2 linked regions of the Caenorhabditis elegans genome follow. The protein of the gene in region 1 interacts with the protein of each later gene in a pairwise test. Each region holds a gene or a part of one and is shown in the gene's direction. Other genes may lie near its edges.

Region 1 (3,413 bases):
CTGAGAATAGCTATCCAACTACACCATCCTATCCAACACCACCACCATCCTACCCAACTCCGAAGAAGTATCCAGTCGCTCCAACATACCCATCTACACCATCCTACTCTGCTCCACCAGCTCAATCTGCTTATTCTTCAAGTGACAATCAAGAAGATACTGAATCTGAATCAGTTACTGGTGCTGCTTCAACATCGGAGTGTAAGGGAAAACATCAATTTCTGACTAAAAATTCAATAAATAAATATTTTACAGATCGCAAGCGCGCCAAGGCACGTACCGCGCACAATCGGCAATTCCAACGACGTGCTCTCCAGCCAATCAAGAGATTCCAACAGAAGAAGCAATAGATTTAGTAGTTTTAGTGCAAATTGCACTGTGATTTTTTAAAACTTGAACAAATAAACATTTCATAATTCAACTCATTTTTCTCAACTCAACATCAACTTAGAAATGTTATGTGTGAAGCAGTAACAGATTTTTAAAATTGAACTCATGGTGAATGCTTTCAACATTCTCCAAAACTTGCATTGAATGGTGTGGAGCATTTCCAAAAGTTTAACAAAATCACCCGATGTTTTTGCATCCAAGACCAATTTTCAATAAGAAAAATAATCGATGTTTGATTACAAGTATGGTGTTCTTTTTTCAAAATTTTGAACATAAATTTTATTTTCAATCAAAGTGGAACATGAAAAGAAAAGAAAAAAGTCATTAAAACATCAGAAAATTAAGCAACTTCTACGGCACCTCCCTCAGCAGCATCCTGTTCGTCCGTATTGATTCCGAAAATCTCTCTGAGTTCAGCTGTCGTTTTGCCCTTTGCCATGTTGGATACAGTCTTACAACCATAGTACATAAGACCCTTGATGTCAAGGAAGTTTGACGCCAGAATCAAATCGAACAGAGCTTCATCCTCAATTTTCAAGAACTTTTGATCCCATTCTGGAATGGTGAGGGTCTTGAGAACATTCATATTGTCCTCTGGAATTGCATCGGCGTTGTGCTTCTCACACCATTCAGCGACCTTCTCCATAGTCTTTCCATTCACATTAGTAACTGGAATTGGATCACGGGTCTCAATGTTTTCAATGGTATAACCGAGATTCTCAATGAGATTGCTGAGAGTCTTCGATTGTTGGACGGCTTTCTCGCTCATTTTTGTCACGACTCCATCGTTTGAAATGATCTTGTAAAAGATTTGGGCGGCTGGAGCATCGGAAACTGGAGCAGACATGGTGATGAGTATGTCGATTCTGAAAATTGAATTCTTAGATTGCGAGATGACTGGAAAATAGAAAATAGGTAAAGGTATCGATGGCAAACCTAACTGACTAGATTTAAACTAAAATTAAATGAGATTTTGGAAGATTATCGGAGTAAAAAAAAATTTTGACGTCACCTACAACAAGAGTGTAATAAGGTTGTAAGGCAGGCAAAAAAGGATAGAAACAGGAAAAGCAGATAGAAAACACCAGATCCAAGACAAGGAAAATTGCATAATGAATGGGTGAGTACAGACAATGCACACCGTTCTGTCAGACGCGCCGTTGAAAATGAATCGATAAGTTGCACAATGTGTTATAGAGTCCCCTCAGCCGAGCTAAAGACGAAGAACAGCTGCAAATATAGTAGTGTGTATGTACATTTTCCAATCAATAACTGACTTACCGCGCGTCCGATGGGTTACATTTGCAGCGTTCTCGTCGTTTAGCGAAAACAGTCTGTTCGATGGTCATTCTGTCGTTTGGCTCTCATCGCGAGCAGTCGCAATTTATTTTCTCTTACTTTTCTTTTTTCTTATGTTTTTTCCTCGTTTTCTACAGTCCTGGTCAAAAAGATATTCCTTTTATTTAGCAGTTTTGATAATTTTGAAATTTTTCAAATGGTTATAACTCTACTAAAAATGCAATTTTTCGTGAAGAACGAATGTTGAAAATATATGTGAACCAAAATTCAATTCTTTCTCGGTAGTTTCCCATTTTTCATTCTATCATTCCGCAATTTTACTCTCTTAAACTTCATCTGCACTCTTCAGCATATCTATATTGATTTATATCTTTCCAGAAATCACCCTAACTTTCAAAAATGTCTGCTGAAGCCGCCGCCGTCGAAGTTCAAGCCAACGAGGCTCCAATTGTCGCCCCAATCATGTACAAGGTCGAATCAAGTGATGGACAAGTCTATGAAATCAGTGATGAAGCAGTAAAGCAGTCGAACACCCTCTCCAATCTGATTTCTACATGTGTTGCCAATGATGTTGCTTCAATGGATCCAATTCCAATTACCAATGTCACCGGAAACATCATGAAGATGGTCATTGAGTGGTGTGAGAAACACAAAGGAGAAACACTTCCAGTTGAAGATGACAGTGTTCCCAAGAACATCACTGTTCCAGAATGGGATACCAACTTCTTGAAAATCGACAACGACGTGCTCTTCGACTTGATTGTTGCCTCCAACTTCCTTGATGTGCCTGGATTGATGAGCTATGCATGCAAGATGGTCGCCAACATGGCTATCGGAAAGTCCCCTGATGAGATGAGAGTTCTCTTTGCAATTCCAACTGATGAGGAGGATGAAGCTGCCGAGAAGGCTGCAAAGGAGAAGGCTGAAGCTGAGAAAAAGGCAATCACAGAGAAGGACGCAGCTGAACCATCAACTTCCAAGTAACTCCCACGTTCTAAATTTTCCGAGTTTTTGATCAAATAAATTCATTTCGCTGTCATTAAACGTTTTTAATCAAAAGAATTGTACGTACAGAAAAAAGTGTTGTCCTAAAATGATAAATTATTGTGTGAGGCTCGAGGCTCAAGGTGGTTCCAAAATACAAATTTATAGAACAAGACGTTTTGAAAATTTCTCGAAAATTTTTAATCATAGTTCACAGGAAGGTGCTGGCTTCCATGGTAGGCAGGGGCGGTTTCAGGGCCTGACGCCTGCCCGAAACCTGCCCGCCTTATGCCGGCCTTTCGCATAGGCGCGGATTGAGGCGAGAGGCGGGCGGAGGTCGCATTAAGGTCAGACAGGCAGGTGTTAAACGCCTATATAGAAGCCCTAGTCCGCTCCTAATTTAAATATTTTTCCGTAGTCGGCCGGGAAATTGTGGTGTTATTTAGTTATTTTTTGGATCAGAATTTTTGGATGTGCAGCAAATTTGCTGTAATAAAATTTGCGAAGAAGCTTCCCAAATCAAAAAATTTTCGAAAAAATGATTTATTGAATGGCTTATCGGGAAAACTTTTAAAGCGAAAAATAAATTCAATTTATTTTTGAAATTTTATTGTTTTTTCTGTTGGAATCTTCTGATTGGCTGAAGAGCACGGCGATGGAATTTGCGGTTTTGGACGGTACGGGCTTTGGCACGTTTGCGGACTGAAAAATGTATACTCAAAACTTTGAACATACTTAAT
Region 2 (3,928 bases), on another chromosome or scaffold:
CAGCTTCAGAACCCCGCCGTCACTCACGTCTCCCTCGACTTTCATTGCGGCGTATGTCTGAAAGCGGGTCAGATCTCGTACTTTGAACACCGCACCCATACCGCCTTCGCCGAGTTTTTCAACGATTTTCCAACGCTTTGCGATTATCTGAAATTGAGGGAAATTGTGAATTTCCGGCTGAAAATGCTCAGAGAAACTCACTTTTCCTTCTGTGATCGCTTGAATTTCTTCCATACTGATTCTGACCACGAAATCGATTGAAACTGTGTAGCTAATAGAGAAATGTAGCTTTTCGAAATATTGAAATAAATTTAATTATTTATTCAATCCTTTTATGTATTGGTTTTTTGTTATTCACATTTTAAAATATTTTTTATTTTTCACGGCCGTTGTTCACCGATCATATGATTACGGTGAAAATTCTAAAACTATTTATTTCCTATTTTATACCAAATAGTTGCAACATATTCTGATAAATCATGTAAGTCTTGTAAGAATACAAAATGTTCTTAGATTTAATTAATGTTGTTTTTTCTTGTTATTCCAGGTACAGTATCTTTTTAAAGGCGCACGAACTAATAAGTTTACCGAGTCCCGCCAAGAACTGTTTCGAGTTTTACAGCGATTTTTGTTCATTTTTTTTCAGTTTTTGTCTATTTATTTGTGAAAGAATAATTTCTCCTCTTTTCCGCAATAGAAATATAAAAAATGATTACAGTTTTATGGGCTCCTGTTTAAAAAACCTAGTTCTACAGTACTTCGATTATTACTTCCACTAATTAAAATTTCCTTTGGGCATCGCCAGGATCGATGTACAGTTAAAAATCTGTTTTCCACCTGTTGTTTTATCGAATTCTTTTTTTACTTTTTTTTCTGCATAAAATGCATGTTTTCTCCAGTTTTTCTCGAATGAAAACGCGTTTTTCAACTTTAAACTATTAAAAATTCGCTTTCGTGTATTTTGCACATCGAAACACCTAAAAAACAAACTTTGCTATTGTTAAAACCTTAGAAAACTCCGCCCGTTCATTGCACAGCCGCTAATCATTCCCTCCTGTGACCTTTCTTTTCCAGATCATCCCGCCATCTCAGCTGTCTTTTGTGCACTAACAGAACCATTGTACTCACCAGAATTTCTTTAAGAATCGATGAAGACACAAGATGAGGCGTCTCTAGCTTGTGTCGCGCAGTCTCCGTCTCCAAGGGTGTTTAGCTCACTGAAATGGGCTCTGAAAAATCAACTGAAATTCGCTTTTTTTCTGTTCTTGGAAATTCCTGAGTCCCGGGGAAAATGAAATAGTCTAAAATTATTATTATTTAGGTGTCTTTCATCTGAAAATTTTCCAAAATTCACAGAGTTTTTGAAAATCTCCTGTTAAGAACAATTTAATTTATTTCCCCAGTATCACTTGAAAAGCTAGAATTATCGCTGGAACAATTTCCTTATGTATTTATTTAATTTCCCCTTTTCCCAGGCTAGCAAATTAGAAAATCTCCTATTTTCCCTCCAATTCCCAGTTAAATTTATCGATTTGCGGTGAGAATCGCGTCCGAGGGCAATCGATTTACTGTCTTCCCGCGATTTTCAGCGCGTCTTCTTAATTTCCAGTCGGAGGCTCACTATCGAGTCATTTCTAACGTCTGCTGGCTCACAAGTATCCCCATTCAGTGATGGCTCTGGATTTTCGTCTTTTTTTTCTATTCTTCCAGGATATCTATATTTCTCCCCCAATTTTGCTCCAGTTTTCCAATTTTTTTGAAAACATCTATTTTTCCGGGATCTCATAAATTTTCTCAATTTCAAGCCCATTATTTCCACCTTCGGTGACTTTTTCCCAACACATGATGATTTTGGATTGGAGCGCGTTTGCGTTTGGGCCCTTGTTTCCTCGTTCCTCTGTTTCTTGCGAAATTGACAAATCCCTTGATTTTAATCGACAATTATTTTTTAAAAATGTGTTTTTCAGTATGACAAATAGCGAACCGAGAAGAATGACGTGTGATTCCGAGGTGGTTTGGAAGAAATTACAAGATGGACTTGATGTAGCGTATCGCAGAGAAAATATGGCGCCAAAAGACTATATGACTCTTTACACGTAAGATTTCCCCCCGAAATTCCACAGAAACTCAATAAAATCTTTAATTTTCAGAAGCGTCTATGACTACTGCACATCGATAACATTGTCCACAAGCCGCCGAGACGGCGAAGACGGTCGAGCAGAATCTTCAACTCCAGCACGAACCGCTGGCGCGGATTTTGTCGGTCACGAGATGTACCAGCGTGTTGAGGAATATGTAAAAGCGTACGTAATCGCTGTTTGTGAAAAGGGCGCCGAGTTGTCGGGCGAGGATCTTCTGAAATACTACACAACTGAATGGGAGAACTTCCGAATCTCGTCGAAGGTGATGGATGGTATTTTTGCCTACCTCAATCGTCATTGGATCAGACGTGAGCTCGACGAGGGCCATGAGAACATTTACATGGTTTATACACTTGCGTTGGTCGTCTGGAAGCGTAACTTGTTCAATGATCTTAAGGATAAGGTGATTGATGCGATGCTCGAGCTGATTCGTTCCGAGAGAACCGGATCCATGATCAACAGCCGATACATTTCTGGAGTTGTCGAGTGTCTTGTGGAGTTGGGTGTTGACGATTCGGAGACCGATGCGAAGAAGGACGCGGAGACCAAGAAGCTGGCCGTTTACAAGGAATTCTTCGAAGTCAAGTTTTTGGAGGCGACCCGCGGATTTTATACCCAAGAGGCGGCAAATTTCCTGAGCAACGGAGGAAATGTGACAGATTACATGATTAAAGTGGAGACAAGACTTAATCAAGAGGATGATCGCTGTCAACTCTACCTGAATTCTTCCACAAAAACTCCACTTGCAACTTGCTGTGAATCTGTGCTCATCTCTAATCAGCTTGACTTCCTCCAGAGACACTTCGGTGGTCTTCTTGTCGATAAACGAGACGATGACCTTTCCAGAATGTTCAAGCTTTGCGATAGAGTGCCGAATGGACTCGACGAGCTCAGAAAATCCCTGGAGAATCACATCGCAAAGGAGGGTCACCAGGCGTTGGAAAGAGTTGCTATGGAGGCGGCAACCGACGCGAAACTCTACGTGAAGACGCTTCTGGAGGTTCATGAACGTTATCAAAGCCTTGTCAATCGATCATTCAAAAATGAGCCAGGATTCATGCAATCACTCGATAAGGCGGCGACTTCTTTTATCAATAATAATGCCGTCACTAAACGTGCCCCGCCACAGGCTCAGTTGACAAAGTCCGCGGAGCTTCTTGCCAGATATTGTGATCAACTGCTCAGAAAAAGCTCGAAGATGCCCGATGAGGCGGAGCTCGAGGAGTTGCAGACGAAGATTGTAGGTTTTTCTCGCTTTTTTTTTTCTCAAAATGGCGTAATTTCCAGCTAAAATTTGAAATTTAACCAACTTTTTGCATATTTTGGTTGTTTATTTCGTTGATTGAGGAACATTTTCGATCGATGAGTGCACACTGCGAAACTGATAAGTTGGCTAAATTTGAGATTTTCGCTGAAAAAAAAAAACAGATTCCTCTCCTTTTTTTCATATCGTTTTTCATACCGATTTTTTCATATCGATTCATATCGAGGCTTCTCAAAATTTCGAAAAATACGGCAATTTTCCCAACTTTTCAATTATTTACCTTTTTCTGACGTTTAAATGTGGCTATAAATCGACCTAAATCAACGAAAAACGCCAGTAATCAATTAAAAATCAATTTCCGACATACGGGAAAATTTGAGGTTTTATCTAAAATTGCCATATTAAAGGATTAAAAGATTTAAAATATTTCAAACCTCCATAGAAATGAAAACCCAATTTCTAAAAAGTTAGCTCAAAATTCTAAAATTTCTATTCCAGATGGTTGTGTTCAAGTACATTGACG

The links.
Region 2: the proteins of skr-7 (region 1) and cul-1 interact in a two-hybrid assay, tested with the Caenorhabditis elegans proteins (2 studies listed by BioGRID).

What each region holds. Positions count from the first base shown.
Region 1 is NC_003283.11:4,420,339-4,423,751, forward strand, and holds skr-7 (Skp1-related protein), read left to right. Parts: upstream 1-2,088; coding exon 2,089-2,673; downstream 2,674-3,413. Other genes in the region: Y47D7A.2 (Extensin-like), read left to right, coding at 1-201, 256-350; skr-14 (Skp1-related protein), read right to left, coding at 731-1,237; Y47D7A.9 (uncharacterized protein), read right to left, coding at 3,281-3,375.
Region 2 is NC_003281.10:10,469,270-10,473,197, forward strand, and holds the start of cul-1 (Cullin-1), read left to right. Parts: upstream 1-1,967; 5' UTR 1,968-1,968; coding exon 1,969-2,096; intron 2,097-2,150; coding exon 2,151-3,381; intron 3,382-3,903; coding exon 3,904-3,928. Other genes in the region: D2045.5 (non-specific serine/threonine protein kinase), read right to left, coding at 1-147, 202-234. UniProt on the Caenorhabditis elegans protein: Probable core component of multiple cullin-RING-based SCF (SKP1-CUL1-F-box) E3 ubiquitin-protein ligase complexes which mediate the ubiquitination and subsequent proteasomal degradation of target proteins.